Rattus norvegicus: one gene and its partner. The protein of the gene in region 1 purifies or fractionates together with the protein of each later gene. This does not show direct contact. Links are inferred from orthologs where the notes say so. Each region holds a gene or a part of one and is shown on either strand. Other genes may lie near its edges. The genes, in order: Bicd2 and Dync1i1.

Region 1 (4,467 bases):
AGCTCAGCCCATTCTCCTACCACAACTGCTCTCCTCTGCCCACCCCGCACACCTATATACCCAAAGCTGCAGCGAAGGCCACAGCAAGCTGTGTCGTGACCACTCGGGACCAGGAACAGGCTGGCAAGAGTCCATCTAGTCCTCTTCCCCACCATGATGGATAAGCAGAAGAGGCGCAGAAAGACTTGGGACAGATGTGGCCCTTACTGAGTTAGACACACAATATCAGCAAAACAGGCTATGAGGCCTCCTCTCCACTTCTAGCCTCAGTCAACACCCGGGCCATGGTTGTAAGCAAGACATAGCCATTCTCCCAGAAATAAAGACAGCGGGGTCAACGCTCAGTTGGCTCACCAGCACAAGCTCTCCTGGGATCTGGTTGTAAACCCTTTCACCCAGGTCAGACGGCTTCCTCACCTCAAAGGCTTGCATGACTAAACTCGGGCAAGCACACAAGCAACTCGACGACAGCATAACTTAACTTGTTAGTAACTAAATCTACCACATTTAAAGGAGCAAACAACTTAAGACAGTTCACCTCTCTATGGGGAGAAAACTTCCTATATACGCTGTCTCCTTAAATCTTCATTTTTTTTTTTAAAGTAGAAGTTAGTATTTCAAATACAATACTGACCAAGATTAAAGAGTTTGACCAGAGCCTGCTTTGGCATGGGTGTGAGGAACAATCTGCTGACAAGAGGCAGATTGGCACAAACTTTTGGCAACACTCTCTGAAGCTGATGCATTCCTCTGGACTCCACCAGAAACTTCTGGAAGAAACCTTATCCCACCTCACAAATGGGAGAGGAGCAGCCTGTCCAAGCCTATACAGTGTGGGACTGGCATTAGACTAAGCAGATACCTAAAGGGCACCTAGAGAATAGATCGCACCCTCTTCCTCATCTTCTCAGAGGTTTCCCTCCAGATACAGAGAAGGCCACATGTATGCCACCATTGTTCTTCACTGAGTCATAAAATGATTCTGCCCATAAAACAATTGCAGGAGGCTGACCAACAGAAGTCACCCAAGTGAGGACCGACTAGATCACCAACAGCCAGTTTTCACAGCACATGCCCCTGAAAGAAACCTGCTAATTCAGAGGAGGAGAGTGGGCTTCCCAGGAGAGGTTCACAGGCATTCCACAGGAAGTGGGAAGGCAACCCATATGTATGTGCAGTGGGAGTGGTACTGTAATTAAAGGGTGCAGCTACCTGCCTGGAGCACTAAGGAGGGGGGAAGGGAAGCCCCAGACAGAAGACTAGATTTGGGAAGAGGATACACCCACTCCATATTTTCACAGTCCTGACCTTCATCTATCACCTTGACTGTCCCCTCCCCCTCCAGGGGGGGCTGCCCATCCCCCTCCTTTTGTCAACCCACTGCGGATGGAGCCAGGCTTGGGAAAGTAACTGATGTCCTCTGACAGACAACAGACTTGAGATTCTGTGGGAAGACTCAATTCCTACCTTCCCACAGAAGCAGCCACTTCTGGGACTCACCCAGCCCTGTTCTACCCAGACTTTAGGGATTCATTCCCCCCCAGAAAAGAAGAGAGGCTCTAAAGAGTTCAGGCACCCACCCAAAGCTGGCTGGGAGCAGAAGTATCCAAAGATGAGCCTGTGATTTTAACACCCGAGAGCAGAACTGAGTCTGACAGGGAAGGGAAACCATTTAGATAATCCAAAAAGCTACCTGTGTGGCCCACATCAGGCCTTTCTAAATGCAGAGCACTCAGAGCAATACTTGTGGGTTGGCAAAGCTGTATTCCTACTTTGCAGAGCTGGAAGCTAAGGTTTGAGGAGAGCTTGCCCATGGCTCACCCATAGCTCACCCATAAGCAATAAGGGGGGGTTGGTCCAAACTCAAGTGTGTCCCTCTTCCAGAAAGCATTTCCCCGACAGTCTCCAGAACACGGCTGGGGAGTCAAGACGGATGGGAGAGTCACTAACACTTAAATCATCCCAGAAAGCTTACCCAGGTCCCTCCTACTGCATCCCCCCCCCCCTCAAGCTCTTAGCCAGCCTGGGGGGTCCAACCTCTCTCCCTACAGTGGGATGACACAAAGCACCAGGTTCCGACAGAAGGAACGCAGACTCCAGGGCGACAGGCAGGGCCTAGGAGACCGAGCAAGACAGGAAGCGGTCGATGGAAGCCATGCTTCCCAGTAGTGGGTGCACCATTAATGAGATTGGGGGGGGGGGGGGGGAAGCAGCTGACTGAGCCAGAGCTAAGTCACACTGATGCGATGGATACTGGGAAAGCCGGCCTGTCAAGGGTCATGGGCAATCAGGAGCTGCGACTCACTGTATCCATCCCTTCCCAGCCTCAGGCAGTCATGAAACCAGATGAACAGCACAGAAAGCAGCTGCTCCAAAAAGGGGGGCAGTGATTTGCTTGAAGATGACAGACTGTGGTCAACCAGCCCCAGGCTCAGCCTTACCAAGGGGGTCACTTTCACGGACAGCCTCAGCTGTAAGGGCATCGTCTGCTCCCCCGCCGCCTACACAGACACACCCAAGGCAGCAATAACCATAGCAGGACATCAGTCCTCAACGAAAGGACTATTAAGGCCTGCAGAGAAAACTAGCGGGTACGTGGAGCTGCAGGGAGCCTAGACCCCAGCAGCAGGGCACGGGGCCGAGCATGGTCACTCTCCGTCACTGCCTTGGACCACAACTCTAGGTCTTCTGCCCCACCCCTGGTACCTCCCACCACTGGGCAGGATGACCTCAGAGCCCCAGGCAGGGGTCGCAGCCGGCCACTACCTCTTTGAGCTGCTCCATCTCGCTGCGGATGGCCTCATAGTCCACCTCGAGCTCCTCGAACTGCAGCTTGAGCTGGTGCTTCTCCTCAAGCACCGCCAGTCCATACTCGGCCGCCTGGATCTTCTCACGCGTGGTTTCGGCCAGCTCGTGGGACAGTCGCTTCACCTCGGCGCGCAGCCACTCCGGCTGCGCCTCCATCACCAGACGCGCATACTCCTCCTCCTCCGACGGCGCGGACATGGTGGCCGCGCGCCGAGGCCCGCTCCCACCTTGGCTCCCACAAGCCGGGCCCTCTTAGCCGCCGCCGCCGCCGCCCAGCCCCGACGGCCGCCCGCGCCGCCGCACTGCTCCTCCCTGACGCGCGGGGAACACTGGGGGCTGCAGTCCCACTGAGCATGGACTACATAACCCGCAGTCCCTTGCGCCCACCTGGTCTGAGGCTGTGATTGGTCTAAATCTCAAGGGGGCATGAGCCTAAAGAGACGCAAAGCTACGTCTCCCTTAGCATTGTGGGAGATGTAGTCCTACTGTGCGCTCACTGCTTGGCCTGTTGTGTGCCGCGCCTGCCTGGCTTCAATCGGTGATTGGCCGGCGCCGCTGACGTGACAGCAGTAAGGGTGCCACCGACCCCAGCCCAAGGACCCCGCAGCCACCCGGAGAACCTCCAGCCTTGTGCTCCTATCCTTTCTAGAGTAAGGCGATCTGAGCTGTGGAGACTACGAATAAGATTCGCGTCCTACAACGTCAGAGCCTGGTTGGTGAGACTGTGTGGCGCGCGCTCTATGCGGGATTTGAATGACTTGTGGCGGGCCGCGGGCACTGCCAAAAGGATGCCAACAACCTGACGCTAGGGGCTCAGCGGAGCCCAAACCCGGATACTACTTCCTTCCTCTTGTCCCTTTGTCCGTTAGGATATTCTTTCATAGAAATGAAAGCACCTCCGTGAGCATAATGTCATAGGTGTGTTTAAATGTTGTCTGTCCCCGATTTTCGGCGGGACATGGCTGTACTCTTCACTGTATGTCTAAATAAAAGTTCCCTCCTCGCATGGTGATTTGGATATAACAAGCTTATTCCTCTTCTCACTGCACACCCTCCGCCCCCGCAACACCACACCCTACAGCTGCGGACCACCATAAAACATAGAGGTCAGCTGGAGAGAAGGCTCAGAGGATAAAGCTCTTGCTCAGCAAGAGCAAGGACCTATATTTGCACCCCCAGAGCCCACATAAAGCACAGTCTATAATCCCAATGTTCCCAAGGCAAGATGGGAGGTGGAGATTGGAGAATCCCCTGAAGTTAGACTAGTGCATGAAGTTGGGGGTGGGGGTGGGGAACTAAGATAACCGGCCTCAAACAAGATGCAAGACAAAGACTGACAACTAGATCTGGCCCTCTGATTCCCAGTGCACGTGGGGCCTGTGTGTACCCACAGGAATATGAACCCACTTCACCATACACACACACGCACACACACGATTAAAAGAAAATCTAGGGCCAACACAAGAATTGTGTAGTAAATAAACTTTGTGTGGTGGAGCACACCTTTAATCCCACCACTTGGGAGACAAAGGTAGAAGGATTTCAAGGCCAGCCTGATCTATATATGAAGTTCCAAGCCAGCCAGGACTAAATAGAGAGACCCTGTCTCAAAAACAAGAGAGAGTTGTATAAATACACGTGTTGTTACCTTTTCTCTTG
Region 2 (3,808 bases), on another chromosome or scaffold:
TTGTTCCTTTTTGGTGTTTCAATGACAAGTATTCCTTTTCAAATTACACTCTCACAGATACTTTTGAGGTTAAAATATGACACATCTATCTCACACACACACACACACACACACACACACACACACACTCACACACTCATATACACATTCACACCCATTGGTCCATCTACCATCTGTGTTGTGTTAATGTAACTAAACTTCGTTTGCATCAAACCAGGGACTTTTAAATGTCCAGGAAATGCAAATAATGGGAATAAGTCAATTATAGTGACTCCCATAATAAGTCGTTGCACTCTGTTTCAGTTAAAGACCTGTGGGTTTACAGTGATTTTCCTCATTCCCATTTCAGCGCATGTACTTTGGGCATCTCTCATTCACAAGCCCCACACATTGGCAGTTCTTGCTGATATTTGGAGCCGATTCCCTACAGATGTGTTCTCTGAATATCCAAGGCAGAAAGGATTTGATTGTTATATTGTATGTTATCTTTTCTTGATCTTACCACCCTGGCCTGTGTCGGCATTCCACAGAGCCGGAGAAGAGAGTTCAGACAGCTGACTAGAGGAAGAAGACAAAAATTCCCATTGTTTAGATTTCTGTCAGAGGATATAAGAATAGTTAATTTCTTTTATCTCTGGGGCTTTCATTATCATTTAAATTTCATTTTACATTAATTGATCAGGGATTAGTAAAGCCATTATGCAGAAATTAGAATAAGACAAGCCAGATGGAATGAATAATTCATAAAGTCCAATTACGTTTTATTTCTGGTGTACTTTCAAACTTGCCTCTGACTTCTGTGCTATTTTGATGTGACAATATTCGCTGGAAATCAAGTGTGCCATTTTAATTTATTATATCCCTCTGGAGTGGAGGCATTTGTATGCAGTGGAAGAATGTTCAGTGTTTCCCCTCAGAACATCAACTTTAGGGGTCTTGGAAATCCTTGGTGATTTAGAAAGGATGTCATATTTTATGTGTAAGTTCAGAGGTTCTAGAATGAGCTACATTGCTCCACTTGGTTCGGGCGAACTAACCCCACCCCATAATATGGAGGCTACGGTCTTAACTAGATAGATTTCCACTTTCTTGTAAGAGCTGAGACCCGACTTTAAAGGTATTTGTCCCGTTTCCTTCGCCGCAAAGAAAGAGTTAAAATATGAATTTGGCCTGCAGTTTGACTAGAAGAAGCCACCGTTGCTGCAGCGACAAGGGAGGACCACGAGGTGGCAGACGTTGCCTTCGGTGCAGAGTCAGGGTTGCCAGGGACCGCCCGGGCTTCGGAGCATCCCAGCGGGTCCAAGCCCCTCAGCCCACTCCTGGGTTCAGGCTCCCAGCGACCTGCACAGCTTGGCCTGGCAAGAATTCCGAGCTAATGGCAGTCGCGTCCACCTGTCTGGAATGTCGCTTACAACTGTGTCTGAAACCGCCTCGCTCCGCGGGTCCCGGCCCCGGCCCATTCAGAGTCACCCCCACCCCCGGGGATTTATTTATGCCACTGGACAGTTGTAGTCACATTAAAGCTCCGGTTCACCTTCTCGAGGACTTTCATCTCGGGAAGTTTTATGACACTTGGTGAATGTGCAAAGTTTTTAATTAGGCTCTCTAGACAGCCCGAGGCGGCGGCAGCGCCACTAAGTCTTCACGGTCTCTCTGCTTTACAGCACAACAAGCCGCTCTACTCCTTTGAAGACAATGCAGACTATGTGTACGATGTCATGTGGTCCCCCGTGCATCCCGCGCTCTTTGCCTGCGTGGACGGGATGGGGCGCTTGGACCTCTGGAACCTCAACAGTGACACCGAGGTGAGCAGCAGGCTCCCGGGCCCAGGGCTGGGAGGGGGCACCCGGGCCACTCTGCAGTCTGATTCTTCCTGGGGAAAAAAAGACCTGCCTTTTGTGGACAGACCCTCCAACAGCCTCTGGGCAGCGTCCATCGCCCCCACCCCCAGCCCCCAATTCTTAACTACTTGGAAGGGAACTAGCAGATGTATTGGCCAAAACTCCATTTCACTTCATTCCTAAACTGTAGCAGATCTTAGACAGTTACTGACTCTGGTTCACACACACCTTCCCCACCCCACCCACGCCCCCAAGAGCACAAATTGTGTTCACACTTTTCCCTGAGGGGAAGGACACATAGCGTTGAAATAGCTTTATTGGCAGACTTGGAAAAGTAAGATTTTCTGGGTGCCGTCTTTTTTAGATTGGATTATTGAAATGAGGTTACCCTGTCGACGCTGGCTATTCGTACCATTTCTGTTTTGACTCCATAAAATATGATTCTCTACACGACTTTCTGTTTAGATCTGCCATCCATTTGATTTTTGCTAAGGAAATATTCCTTGTCTGCGATATTGAACTCAAAGGCAGTAGTGTCTAAGTTGAAACATGTATGCAAAACTCAGTTTTTAAAATGGGATTTTTAACATGTCACATTTAAAGTCATTCACGAGTGAAAGATGCCTATTTCTTTAAAAGAAAAAAGTTGATAACAAAATGATTACTTTTAAAGTGTATTTTATTTGCTTTGCTTCTTTTCTTTCAATCCCTGGGAAGTACTGAGGGTCTAATTCAGAGCCTTAGGATTGGTGTTGTTGACAGGGAACATGTTTCATGAATATTATGTGTCCTAAAAATGGCCTCTGCATCACTTCTTGGTTTTTGGTTTGGGTACAGATATGCAGGTAAAGAGTGCATGATACAAGGTACCTGTCAAGCAAAGCCAGTCTTTTGAAGAGCTTGGGACAGGAAGTCATTCAGCCTTTTTAATTAAGGATCCTAAGGCTGGAGGACATAGAGGAGAACAGGAGACTAGGGTTTTTTTTGTTTTTTTTTTTGTGGGAGGGGACAGGGAAATTTCCTTCAGGTGGTGTTGTGCCTGGGTGCTTTTAATGGCACATATTTCTGTAGCTATCACCAGGCAAATGTATTTCCATCACAGCCATTTTTTTTTCTTTTACCTCCAAGGACTGTGGGGGAAAGAAAGTTACATAATGAAGGTATCTTTGAAAATCCTCAGAGGGCAGGAGTGAGATGCCCATCGTTTGGGATGCTGAAATGTTTATAACATCATTGCGTTTAATAGTGAGATGCTATTACCTTACGTTGTAATGGTTTCCCAAAGTCTTTCATCACCGTTGATTAAAATCATACTGCTTCTATTTGCCAGAAGAAACTCACTCTAAGCAACCAAAAAAACAAAAACGCTTTCCAGATTGACTCGGGAGCGTGCTATATGAGAAAGCCGGCCAAGCCGAGGTGATGTTTTCATGACACCCAGCTCTGGTGCATAGGAAGGGATGTAGTGGTCCTCACCTCCTTAATAACCTCTCTCTCTCTCTCTCTCTCTCTCTCTCTCTCTCTCTCTCTCTCTCTCTCTCTCTCTCTCTTTCTTTCTCTCTCCCCCTCCCTCCCTCAAAGTGATATCTTGACATTGCCTTCACTCTCTATAGGTATCAAAGAGAGAAACTCAGAGTAGTTTTATAGTTAACATTTAAAACTTCACGGCCGGTCATGCTTAGAGTTAAGATTTATGATAAGCGCTCTGGCTTCACGGCCATGGTAAAAGCACACCAAGGCAGCCTCACTTCCAGGACCTCACAATTTCAAACCCTTTCTTTCTTTTTTTTTTTTTTCAGGTTTAAGTCAGATTAGGAAATAGATTTTAAAAGACTGAGGGAGCCTATGTTCCCTATCTGCTTTGTTGTTCTTCAAATTATTATACTTTTAAACCAAGTTGTCCCCACCCAACCACCCCCACTCCTCTGCAAAAGAAACCGACTATTTACCCTTGATGGGACCGACTC

Evidence for each region.
Region 2: the proteins of Bicd2 (region 1) and Dync1i1 purify together in Homo sapiens (affinity purification with western blotting; 4 studies listed by BioGRID and IntAct, with this or other methods). This does not show direct contact. The link is inferred for Rattus norvegicus from reciprocal best matches to the Homo sapiens genes BICD2 and DYNC1I1.

Annotation. Positions count from the first base shown.
Region 1 is NC_086035.1:15,508,210-15,512,676, forward strand, and holds the start of Bicd2 (protein bicaudal D homolog 2), read right to left. Parts: upstream 3,097-4,467; 5' UTR 3,007-3,096; coding exon 2,767-3,006; intron 1-2,766. UniProt on the Homo sapiens protein: Acts as an adapter protein linking the dynein motor complex to various cargos and converts dynein from a non-processive to a highly processive motor in the presence of dynactin.
Region 2 is NC_086022.1:35,109,198-35,113,005, forward strand, and holds part of Dync1i1 (cytoplasmic dynein 1 intermediate chain 1), read left to right. Parts: intron 1-1,664; coding exon 1,665-1,805; intron 1,806-3,808. UniProt on the Homo sapiens protein: Acts as one of several non-catalytic accessory components of the cytoplasmic dynein 1 complex that are thought to be involved in linking dynein to cargos and to adapter proteins that regulate dynein function.